Linked DNA regions of Mus musculus. The protein of the gene in region 3 interacts with the protein of the main gene of each other region in a biochemical or structural test. Links are inferred from orthologs where the notes say so. Each region holds a gene or a part of one and is shown on either strand. Other genes may lie near its edges.

Region 1 (4,788 bases), on a different chromosome or scaffold from region 3:
TGGAGCCAACAGAATTGGAGGTGCTGAGGTTCTCAGTTGCCATGTGGGTGCTGGGAACAGAATCCAGGTCCTCTTCGAGAGCAGGCACCAAGCCATCTCTCTACCACTTTTTATTTTTTTGAGACGGAATCTATCTATTTTACAGGTTCAAGCTCTGTTAGAACTCCCAGTCTCCCAGTCTTAAAAAACGATCCTCTCTCCTGCCTCCCATGTAACTGGGATAACATATATGCCCCACTATACCTGGCTTTTCTAAGGACTTTAGAATACTAAGTCACTCTTGGGCTAGAGTATGTAGCTCCGTGGTATATTGTTTGCCCAACACAGCAAAGGAAACAAGGGAAGGAAGAAAGAGAGAGAGAGAGAGAGAGAGAGAGAGAGAGAGAGAGTGAGTCTTGTTGTTGTTCTTTTAAAAATCCAGGAATAGATATCACATCTGTAATGGCAGCACATCATATCAAAGCCAGCCTGGGCCACAGAGATCGTGTTTCACAGATCCACAAAAACAAAAATCTGCAAAAAAGCAAAACAAGGAAGTTCCTCTACTTGTTTACTCTTAGGTAAAACTGAGTGACTGCCCAAGACAAGCCAGCGTTTAAGCCAGCTGTCATAGCATAATTATTAATGGTGCCTTTCTTGCTCTAATGAGCTGATTTATAGTAGTGCTATATCTGTCCATCCTATATAAAAGCCCCCCCCCTCACCACCCCTACAGTTAAGGTAAAGAAACTGCAGTGTTTTGAATCTACTGGACTAACATGAAACCTGAAAATATACTTTAAACATTTCTTATCATTTTGAGACAGGGTCTTATAGTTCAGGCTGGGTTTGGACTTGCTATGCAGCCGAGGGTGACCTTGACCTCCTGATGCTCCTGCCTCCGCCTCCACCTGCAGGTGTGTATGCCACGGGCCTGGTTTTTGTTCACATGCCAGTGCTAGGATCATAAACAACAGAGCACATTTTCTAAACATCAGCCCTGGAGAAGGTGGCTTGGGCTGGGGGCACTATCTGTGCTTAAGGGTTTGTTTTTAAAAATTGCAAGTAAAAGAACAGGAGGAGGGGCTGGAGAGATGGCTGAGTGGTTAAGAGCCCCGGCTGCTCTTCCATAAAACCTGGGAAGAATTCCCAGTACCCACATGGAAGCTCACAACTGTCTGTAACATCAGTTCCAGGGAATATGACATCCTCACGCTGACATACATGCAAACAGAAACACCACTGCGCATGACATTAAAGAATAAAAAAATCACCATCATCAACAACAACACAAACAAACCTAAAAAATACTGTTTAGGGCAAAAAAACCCCAGGAAGAATGAGAGCGACAGTGGCACTTTGTTAAGAACACTTTTTCTGTCATAGCAGAAATTTACAAGAAGTCAATAACTTTGGAAGTTAAAGAAGGCTTCCTATGATTGGCTCAAACAATGCTAGCTGGGCCTCATTAATCCCAACACTGGGTTTATTTAGAGAAATGTAAGCTCTGTGGATCCGCATTTTAGTCTCTCCAAAAGTTACAAGCAAAACTATGTACTTAAAAGTTGTTAAAAAAAAAACAAACAAACAAAACAAAAACTAAAATGAAGAAATACATTTTACAAAGTAAATTAGAATGGATGCCTTTCCGGAAATTCAAAAAATTATTCTGCTTCATCTCACCCTAAGCCTTCAGCAGTCTGCAAAAGTTGTATTTATGGACACACCAAAGAGATTTCTCCCCACGTAGCACTAACAAGTACATATCCATATGCATTTGTTAAGCACAGCCACTTTTTCTTTATCGTTTGTCAGACCTGTTTATACAAATGAGATCAAAACCAGATTCAACCACCGACTTAAAATTAGTCAGTTGCTGTGTTTAACAAATTCTGGAACAACACTACGCAATCTTGCAAAAACATCACGGGAACACTATCTGGGATAGAATAAGATAAATAATAAATACGCTTAAGAGTGTTTTCCAGTGTTCGTTGTTACAAAATCATAACCTCTCAAGCCACAAACAACGAGATTGTATAACGTCGCCACGGACGTTTTATAAGTAGGGGGGCAAAAAAGAAAAAAAAAAAAAAAAAAGAGGCGGAGAAACTCAGCAAAACACGGTGGCGACGGGAGTCGGGGGAGGGGTGCGCAAGAGGGGGCGGAGAAACCTGACACCCAGGCGGTGATATCACCGGCAGCCGACAGCTCGGAATTCAGAAAGTTAAGTGTCACCCAGCAATTTGGGTCCCGGCTGGAGCGTCCGCACGGCGCGCCTGCACCTCGCTGGGAAGCCGGGAGGGGGAAGGGCGGGTGGCTGAGTTCGCCCAGGGGCAGGGTAGCCTGGTGGGGAGCGGCGTGCTCTACCTAGCCATGATTTCATCTTTTTTTTTTTTTTTTTTTTTTTTTTTTTTTTTACCCCGGAGGAGCGGCCAGGGCCGCCATGTGCCTGGTGTGCGGCCGGGTGCGTTGCGATGGGAGACCCACCTAGACCCGGCCCTGGTGGCCATGGGACGCAGCGACTCAGTCAGGAAAAGGGCAGGCGGTCGGAGAGGGGAAGTCGAGGTGGCTGAAACAACGCTGCCCCGCGGAGATCGCGGGCCTCAAGGGACTGCCCTCCCATCCTCCATCCCCGCAAGGACTAAGGCCAAGGTGCTAGGCAGCGTCGCAACTCCCAGGGAGGATGCTGCCGAGGCCAGGCGGGATGCAGGGGCCCAGCTTTCCCAGGGCGGCGGACCCCGCGGGGCCCCATTCCCCGCCCCTGCCCCGCCGCGCCCCGCACGCTCCCGGCGGCGTGGCGTAGGCAGTGCAGCCCCCGCCTGAGCCGAGCGACCCGCCATCCGCTTAGGGACCGCGGCGGCCTTCGGCTCGGCCCGGCGCGCGTCGCAGACCGCCACTCTTTTGGCGCTTTCCGCCCCAGGCGCCTGTCCCCACCCCAGAGTCCTGGAGAAAAGCTTGTACCTTCCACGGCTTCCTCCACCACCTCATCGTCGCTATCCATGGCGGCTGAGACCCTACCCAGCCCGGGGCCGTGCGGCCGGCTCCCGTCCCTCTGGGTGCTCCTGGTGGCTGAGCGAGCGCTGGAGCTAAGCCCTGCGAGTTTGGAGGAGGGGGAGGAGGGGGAGGAAGAGGAGGAGCAGTCGGGGCGGCTCGCGCTGCCTCCCCCTACAGTCCTTTCAATTCCTCCGCCAGCCGCGGCAGCCGCAGCCGCCGCCCCCTCTCCTCTCGTCCCCGGTCCCGGAGGCTCTGGGGTGCTGCCGCCACTGCAACTTTCTCCTGTGATACCCCCTCTTTGTTATGGAGCAGCTGATCCGCTGACATCACCCGGCGCCGGTGCGCTCCCTCCCTCGTTGATTGACAGTTCCCTGTCCTTTCCCAGAAGTGAGGATCCTTAGAACCCAAGGTGCTCCGGAGCTGCGCCGCCTCTTAAGACCAGGCAGTGGGCAGACCAGGCGGCGTTTACCTTTTGGCTTGGTTCACTGTTCGCCAGCCACGCGGTCCAGGTCGCCGCCGGCTGTTCGCTAGCGCCGGGGGCCTCGAGGGTACCCGCCTGGGGTGGGTGAGGGGCTCAGAGCACCTGATACCCCACGATGTGCCACCAGGGACTTGGAAGTGCGTCATGCTGGGTGTTCCTACCACTATCTCACTCCTGGACAGCTGGAGCGCACTCGGAACTAAGGAAGCCTTTGGTTCCTGAGCTTCTACTTCCTCTTGCCCTCGAGCCCCACTTCACTCGGCTCGCTACTGCCCAGAGTTGCAAAGTGCGGCGGGCCCAGGAGCGCAGGTGCCCCGTCCCCCTTCCACTGCCCAGCGCTGCCTCCACAAGCCAGTTCCCTCGACTCCAGGGGGCGTCCTGCGTCCTGGATTCCTCCCGACTGAACGTCCTACCCAGGAGTCCCCAGTCTCCATCTTCTTTCGCATCTCCAGGCCCCTAGAGAGATCCAGGAATTCAGCAAACCCAAATGGCAGCAGGCTGGTAATCAGGCCGCACCCGAGCTTTGGCCGATTCCTTCTCCTTGTCTTGAAGATGGAGCCACCAAGCGGAGAGCCGGAGCCAGGACCCTGTGTCTAGCGCTCCTCCTTCTCTCGCCTCCGGTCCTGTATTTGTGATGTCCCTAGATGTTTCTTTAGTTTCTCCAAGTGCCAACCACTTCACAGACTCAGGCATCTTTGAGGGAAGAAAACTCCCTTCCCAGCCCAGCCACTTAAAGAGTGTCATTATGTCCTCTTACAGGTGGCAGCAAAGGATCTCTTTAAATAGCGGGTTAAATGCATGCGCATGTACCCAATGTACTGTGGAATTACCCGGTGCTGGTCTGGCCTTCTGCCAAGAACAGTCATCGTGGCGGGTGGGAAGGATGGGGCAGGAACCAAAGAAAGTTGTTCCTTTTCGTTTTCTGAACAATAAATGAGGCAGGATTTCAAGTCACTTCCAAAGCCTGAGAGAGTCCCCCCCCTCCTTAATTTCTTAAATGCCTTTTTTTTTTCATTTTCTTTTTCTTTTTTATTTAAGGCAGGATCTCCTGTAGCCCGGTCTCTCACCTCTAACTCACTGTATACAGGAAGACGATTTTGAGCTAATCATCCCGCCTCTATCTTCACAGCCCCGTAATTACAAACCTTGGCAGCATGCTGAATTTATAGTACTGGAGATACAATCCAGACTTTTCCATGCTAGAAAAGCAAGCTCTCCACCAAATGAGCTGCACCCCCACTGGCTGATATATGTCAGCCAGAAAAAAAAAAAAAGTAAAAGAAACAGGGCATGGTGGTATTAATCGCTGCACTAGGGAGGCAGAGGCAGGT
Region 2 (4,791 bases), on a different chromosome or scaffold from region 3:
TACAGAGAAACCCTGTCTCGAAAAACCAAAAAAAAAAGAGAGAGAGAGAGACAGAATCTGAAATATTCCGAAAAAAAAAAAATGACAACACCAGGCATGGTGACACATGATTTTTAATCCCAACACCTGGAAGGCAGAGGCAGGGGTAATCTCTATGGATTTGAGGTCAGCCTAACCTGTAGAGCTAGTTGAAGGACAGCCAAGGCCCATACACAGAGAAACATTGTCCAAAAAAATAAAAAAAAAAACCCAAGAATGTCAGGATGGGCCTATATCTGCTACAAAATTAAGAACATCTAAGATAGGGCTACATACCCAGCCCCTTACTTGCCTTTTTTTAAAAAACAAGTCACATACACTGAAGATGTAATCAGTCCTATTCATTTATAAGACAGAGTAGGCCCTGCTGACCTGAAACTCACAAAGCATACAGGTTGGCCATAATCCTATGTTCACTCTCTAAGAAATGGTAAAATTTCCCTTTTTAACCTCAAGACCCAGAAACTAATCTATACCAGAGGAAAAACAGGATTAATGGTCCATTTATTAAAGAGTACTCCAAGACAAGGTGGTGGTGGTTGTGGTGGTGGGCGGTCATTTCCTCCATGCTTTGCTAACTGCTAAATGTCTGAAAATGATAAATTCTAGCATTAGCCCTTTTAGAGGAAGACTTTATTATTCATTTTTACATTTTTGGTATTGTTTTAAAACTGAAACACTGGGGGGGAAGTATGGGGGACTTTCAGAATAGCATTTGAAATGTAAATGAAGAAAATACCTAATAAAAATTTGAAAAAAAAAAAACAAAACTGAAACACTGAAAGGAAAGGAAGAAAGCAGAGACTGAGCAAGTGTGGCTCACGCCTTTAATCCCGGCACTCTCGAGAACAAGCGGCTCGCGGATCTCTGAGTTCAAGACTAGCATGGTCTACAGAATGAGGGCTACACAGAGAAACCATGTCTGGAAGGAAAAAAAAATATTCTGAACCATATCTAGGTAGATGCCGTGAGTCCACTATCACTTTAGAGCTCAGTACTGAAGTTGCACTGTTAGTGTAAATAAGCAGCTAATGGTTGTATAATATGTTTGTCCTTTTTAAAGTGCCAGTGACTATGGAAATCTCTATTCATTAGAAACATCACTAAAACCTGTCAAGCGCCAGGCGGTGGTGGTACACGCCTTTAGTCCCAGCACTTGGGAGGCAGAGGCAGGTGGATTTCTGAGTTCGAGGCCAGCCTGGTCTACAAAGTGAGTTCCAGGACAGCCAGAGCTATACTTAGAAACCCTGTCTCGAAAAACCCAAAAAAAAAAAAAAAAAACAACAACAACAAAAAAAAAAACCTGTCAAGCATGATAGCACCAACAGGTAGATCTCTTCATGTGAGGCCAGCCTGAGACATAAAACAGAAAACTAAATTGAAATCATCAGTCCGTCCGTCCCCCCCCCCCCACCCCCCGAGACAGGGTTTCTCTGTGTAGCCCTGGCTGTCCTGGAACTCACTTTGTAGACCAGGCTGGCCTCAAACTCAGAAATCCGCCTGCCTCTGCCTCCCGAGTGCTGGGATCAAAGACGTGCACCACCACCACCCGGCATCATCAGTCTTTTGTAAAAAGTATGAAACTATCTTCTTTTCTTTCTTTTCTTCGTTTTTGAGACAGGGTCTGATTATGCTTTGGCTGTCAAGTAACTCACTACATGGACCAGGAGGCTGGCCTCAAACAGATATCCATCTTCCTGCTAGGATTAAAGGCAATGACCACTAACGCCAGGCTGGAATTTTCTTATCACAATGAGGTACCTCTACCTCAAAGACTATAAATAAATCAACAGACACAGATAATAAATGGAAATTATACATTTGTCTAGATACTCTGAGAAGTGTGGGTATTATCAACACCAACAAAATTGCAGAGAAAATACAAAAATATATGGAATCAAAACAATGAATAACAACTCAAGATATGGTGGAGTCTTCTGTCCCCAACACCCTAAATACCTCCTAAATGAATCAGCTTTTTCACCCCACACCAGACATCCTCAAATGAACAGCAGAAATAGGAGCTTAGAGTATCTTGAATGTTAGGGGAGAAAAATGTTCTTCGGAGAAGAGATTCAGATAAAAGAATTGGGAACATGAATGGTGGTGACAAGTACATGATGACACAAAACAAACAAACAAAAAACCAAATGTGTCTATTTTTATTAAGGTTTTCATTATTTCATCAATGACAATTATCCCTCAAACATACAGGCCTTGGCCCCACTGTTTCCATAGAAGCAACACGTTTTGACTTTTGACATGTAACTCTCAAAAACTTTCATAGAGATAGAAATACAAATACAGTGTCCCTGGAAATGGGTGCTAGTGGTTAAGTCTATTTTTCTTGGATGCTTTTCATTGCAAGTACTTTACCTAAGTCATCTCATTCAAAATTTCAATATTCTTCTCTTAAAAGTTTTCAAAGACTAAAGGCACGTTCTCCAAAGTCTCAAGTGAAGGGAGGAACGTACCAAAAACTACAAGAAAAATGATTAACTCAAGGGCCACAAGAAAACATATGTTTTCCCTAAGGTAATATACAGAATGAATGCCTTAGTTATAGGAGTCATTTTAAGTTAAAATACTCGCCCCCACAAATGCAAGAGTAAGCTTTATTGGGGGGGGGAGGGGGGAATCCTGTCTTTCTAGTGACTCCTGGCTTGCTCTAAGAATTTAACCAGCCAACTCCCGCGCTCCCCACAGGAGTCCAGCCTCTGCCTCTTGGGGAAGGCCGGCCAATCGCGCGCTTGGGGCTCATTGGCTCGGAGAGACGCAACTCAGGCGAGAAAAACCCGCCTCCCACATTCCGATGGCCCAAGGACCGATCGGTAGGCAGCTATAGGAAAACCCAATTGGCCTATAGGCTCGCCAGTCAAATGCTTCGGCAAGGCAGCTTCACAGAACCTGCAAGGATAAAACATCCCGCCCCAGTTGTCCTATTGGCTGGCCCGACCCGTCGCGGCCCCTTCACTGTCGTCGTCCACCCCCCCCCCCACCAGTTCAGCGGTCCATTCATTTCGTACAATAACCGGTGCAATGGGAGCGGGTTCAAGATCTCGTACGGGTAGACGAGACTCTGCCACTTACCCAAGATCTAAAGTGATCACTCACGCTAAGGCCTGCACGGTTCCTCTGTGGTAAAGCGGCACCACAAGCCACCGCTACCGCCGCCTTCTGCGCAATGCCAACCGCCCGCCAAAACGGATCCTTCCCTGCGCCTGCGCAACCAATCCTGGGCTTGGACCTTTTCTCCGCCCAAAACGCCTGCGCAAAACTGGACGCTGGTCCCGCCACTACGCAGGCGCCTAGGTTCACAACCCTCTCCCGCCCGCCATTTCACGTGTTCCAGGCAGCAGGCGGAACATCGTAGTGCGCCGGCGTGAACTCGCCATTTTTATTACACATGCGCCTTATAGGGAGTGGCTGGGAAAAGTCGCGGTGAGCTACTTTGTAGCGTGCGGTCCTTTGACGAGTGAGTTTGTAATGTTCGGGTGTGGGAAAGTTATGAAAGGCATTTAAAAGACGTGAATACATTCAAATATAAGTGACTGGCTAGTTAGCCAATCAATGCGATTAAGGATAAGATCCCTTGGGGCATCAGTGACTCAAAGGGGCGGAGTCTGAATAGAACGCCCAAACGGATGCCGTTTCTTAGCAGGGCGTCTTCACGGGCCAATGGTGGGAGGGAATAATTTCAAATCTCCAATAAGACTCAAGTAAGGGCGGAGTCTACCAATACCGAGAGCGAGGAGGCGGGATAAAAGGGCGAGCAGAAGGTAGGCTGGCGGGCACGTTCGTTATCGTATTCCTTTCTGCTCTTTGACGCTGCCGAGGAAGCATCGCTGAAGGCTCTCGTAACTCTACCGTCATGTCTAAGTCCGAGGTAAGTTGGATGCGCTTTGCAGCTTCTCTTTCTTCCACACTTACTGAATATAGCGGGATGTGACGTGTTTTGCTGCTCGCACCCGTGGTTTCGGTGTTTTATCGATTAGTGCTGAGGCCTACTTTAAAAAAATGCAGGTCGCCATTTTGTCCTCATAGTCACCATGAGGCTGCGATCCGACCGCCATTAACGTCCATGCACTGTTCCTTGTGGCAAACTTCACAGACTAATGATCTGGGGAGTGTGGCCTTTTCTTCCCCTCCCCCATTCTGGTCTAACAATCGCTTGTTAAAGAGATATTAAGTCTTAATGGGGATGGACCCGACTAACCTGTGCCCTTTGTTGCGCGTGCGTATGAAGTAAAAGTAAGGACGCATGCGCTGCGTGCAACTCGAGTGAATCCCCAGCAGCACCTCCTAGCCTAGGAAGGAGCACGTGGTCTCGTGCAGTAATAAAGAACAATAAAAAAGTGTAGCATGTGTTGTTGCGGGGTGTTGATTCATTTTCCCAGGTTCCAGCCCCTCCGCTAAACACTCCCTCCTCCACTTTAGTCTCCCAAGGAGCCAGAACAGCTGCGGAAGCTCTTCATCGGAGGGCTGAGCTTCGAAACAACCGACGAGAGTCTGAGGAGCCATTTTGAGCAATGGGGAACACTAACAGACTGTGTGGTAAGATTAAAAGAAACAAAAGGAAGAGCTGGCTTATTTCTTCCGATTTAATCTGCTGCTTCTTAGCTAAATTGTTTTGTGAAGTTAACTAATGGGATGGTAAAAAAAAATCTGGGGCTTTCTTCAGATCTGTAAGAAGCTTACATTTCCACCCCCCCACTCTGAAGTTTCATGTTTGCCTTGATCAGACTAGGAATG
Region 3 (2,853 bases):
GGACGTCCCGGTTCCTGGGCACCACCAATGGACGACCCACGTCCTCCGGTTGGCGTAGCGCCTACCCGCGACCGCACACCGCAGGCACGGGCTCGGGATTCCCCGCTTTGGCGTTCACCGGCGTCAGTTTAAACTACACATACACGTTTGGAAGCAAAACACCATGATTGTCAGTGAGTTCTATTTTTTAACCAAATCCGTAAAGATGCACCACAGTTTGATTTCTATCCTTTTCTGGACTCACGTTTTTTGAAATTATGTGGACGACATTTCTCATCCTCTGACGTGATCTAAATAATCATTATTACTATTGTTTGATACCCTGATTGTGACCTTTGGGGGAATCCTTGAATACAGCCCATGTTATCCTTGAAAGCCTTTGCTTCAGAAATCCTTTTTTTTTTTTTTTTCCTAATTTTCTTTCAGATCTAAAGATGTTTTATTTTGTTTGATAAAGCGTCATTTCAGTGTACTCTAAGCCTCAAAATTATTATCCTTCTGATTCAGCTACCGAGTACTGAAGTTATAAGCATGGACTACTGTTCTTTGAGTCATATCTTCTAGTTTTTTTTTTTTTTTAATTAACGTACGTTAACTGTGCTTAGTAATGGGTTTCATTTTGATAACTTCACACACACACACACACACACACACACACACACACACACACACACACCAGCTCTCCCCTTTTTTTCCTCTTCCCTCTGGTCCCTTTCTCTCTATAAATACCACCCCGACCCCATTTTTATGCTTTTTTTTTTTTTTTTTTTTTAATCTAGCTTCCACATGCTAGAGAACCCATGCCATGCTTTTCTTCCTGCCTGGATCCAGCTTACTTAACACTGTGATCTTGAGTTCTTTCCATTGTTCCAGCAAACGACACAATTTCTTTTCGTTTTTCTCTTTATTTTTTTCCATCTCTACCCCTCCCTATTTTTAAAAAATAGTGTTAATACTATGTAGCCCTGGCTAACCTCAAACACACAGATATCCACCATCCTTTGCCTCCCGAGTCCTGGAATTAAGCTTAACTGCTGAGCTACCTCCAGCCCTCGCCCCCAGGGGCGTCCTCAGACCAGGTGGATGTTTTTTTAGTATTCCAGAACTCAGGAAAACTATGCCTCGTTGTTATATAAAGGAAGCATGCAGAAAGGTTCTAGAAGGTTCTTTGTGTCTTGGGAGTCGAGGCAAGATTGTTTTGTTTTTTTATTTAACAACAACAATAAAAGCTCCAAGAAAGCGACTTGAGTTTTTTCCACAGACCCCGCTGCCCTCCTACCGAGCCGCAACTAACAGTTCCAGAGTCCACACCACTCAGAGAGAATATAAGAGGCAGGGTGTAAAGTCAATCCCCCAATGGACCAATCAGAGTGCAGCATCCCATAATGCCACCTGGTGGGCAGCCAATAGGAATGTAGCTGGGTCTATAAAAGCAGTGCTACTCGCCCCCCACATTGTGCACCTGAGGAGCAAGGGAGGCGGACGATTCAGGAAGATGGCACGCACCAAGCAGACGGCACGGAAGTCGACGGGAGGCAAGGCTCCGCGCAAGCAGCTAGCCACGAAGGTGGCCCGCAAGAGCGCCCCGGCCACCGGGGGCGTGAAGAAGCCGCACCGCTACCACCCTGGCACGGTGGCGCTGCGCGAGATCCGGCGCTACCAGAAGTCCACCGAGCTGCTGATTCGCAAGTTGCCATTCCAGCGCTTGGTGCGTGAGATCGCCCAGGACTTCAAGACCGACCTGCGCTTCCAGAGCTCCGCGGTGATGGCGCTGCAGGAGGCCTGCGAGTCGTACCTCGTGGGGCTGTTCGAAGACACGAACCTGTGCGCTATCCACGCCAAGCGGGTGACCATCATGCCCAAAGACATCCAGTTGGCTCGGCGCATCCGCGGAGAACGGGCTTAGGCTCCCACAGGCACCGCTCATGAACCCAACGGCTCTTTTCAGAGCCACCCACAGAGTCAGAAAAAGTGTCTGTAACGTAGACTTAGGTGTCCTGTCTCCTCAGGAGGTGAAGACAAGGTGGCCGGCAATCGAAGTGTCTCCCCAGATCAGTCTAGAGGGCTTAGCAGCTAATCCTTGCCCATTGAGCTATTTGACTTGCAGCTCCGTCCTATTCTAACCTGCCTTCCCTTGATAGGTATAGTGGCCTGAGCCCTTGTACTACAAGATGATGGTTGTGTTGCTGACTGGTTTTACCAAGTGAAGGTAGCTCCTACCGGCAGTAAACGTGCTATGTTTGCATAGTTGATAGTATCCAAACGCATCTGCTCAGTAACCAAGTTACTTATGTTTTGTGTTTTAAGGCTCATAATGCCTGGTATTAAAAAGGCTAGCTATTCCTGTACTTGAAAAGTTGGCCTTTCTCCTGATGGAAAGCCCAGTGAACTGCCTTTGATTAAAGTTAATTTTGCCCATCTGTTAACGGCGGCAGCAAAAGAGTCAGGAAAGTGTTAACTTACATATTTCCAGGGGACACATCCAGAGAATCCTGTCTTAAACGATTCCTGTAGGGTACGAAAGTCTAGCTGTTGTCTTGACTCAACCTGAGTTGTAAGCAATAGGAACCTCTCTTATCAAAAGGATGTTTTGCGCTGGAGTTTAATTCTCTGAGCCTTGGTTTTTCATACTGTCCAGTACTGTATGACTTCTGAGCCATACAAAAAGGGTGGTGTTCAGAGATGACCGGCATGGAGACTAACCGGCTTGATCAGAAATCAAACTGGGAGGAACCCGAGATGGTTAACTGAACTGCATTAGTGGAGGGCTGAGGGGAATAGCCTGAATAAGCCTGTGAGGTTAACACAGAAAACTTTACCTCTCCTTTGTAGTGGAATCACTCATTAATGCCA

The links. The genes of interacting proteins can lie anywhere in the genome.
Region 1: of the proteins of H3f4 (region 3) and Setd7, one has a biochemical effect on the other in vitro, tested with the Homo sapiens proteins (2 studies listed by BioGRID). The link is inferred for Mus musculus from reciprocal best matches to the Homo sapiens genes H3-4 and SETD7.
Region 2: the proteins of H3f4 (region 3) and Cbx5 interact in a test that uses a peptide from one of them, tested with the Homo sapiens proteins (5 studies listed by BioGRID, with this or other methods). The link is inferred for Mus musculus from reciprocal best matches to the Homo sapiens genes H3-4 and CBX5.

Annotation. Positions count from the first base shown.
Region 1 is NC_000069.6:51,557,575-51,562,362, forward strand, and holds the start of Setd7 (histone-lysine N-methyltransferase SETD7), read right to left. Parts: upstream 3,250-4,788; 5' UTR 2,984-3,249; coding exon 2,944-2,983; intron 2,635-2,943; exon of another isoform or gene 2,411-2,634; intron 1-2,410. UniProt on the Homo sapiens protein: Histone methyltransferase that specifically monomethylates 'Lys-4' of histone H3. H3 'Lys-4' methylation represents a specific tag for epigenetic transcriptional activation.
Region 2 is NC_000081.6:103,236,604-103,241,394, forward strand, and holds the start of Cbx5 (chromobox protein homolog 5), read right to left. Parts: upstream 3,250-4,791; 5' UTR 3,130-3,249; intron 1-3,129. Other genes in the region: Hnrnpa1 (heterogeneous nuclear ribonucleoprotein A1), read left to right, coding at 3,911-3,925, 4,477-4,593. UniProt on the Homo sapiens protein: Component of heterochromatin that recognizes and binds histone H3 tails methylated at 'Lys-9' (H3K9me), leading to epigenetic repression. In contrast, it is excluded from chromatin when 'Tyr-41' of histone H3 is phosphorylated (H3Y41ph).
Region 3 is NC_000077.6:58,960,317-58,963,169, forward strand, and holds H3f4 (predicted gene 12260), read left to right. Parts: upstream 1-1,394; 5' UTR 1,395-1,495; coding exon 1,496-1,906; 3' UTR 1,907-1,957; downstream 1,958-2,853. UniProt on the Homo sapiens protein: Core component of nucleosome. Nucleosomes wrap and compact DNA into chromatin, limiting DNA accessibility to the cellular machineries which require DNA as a template.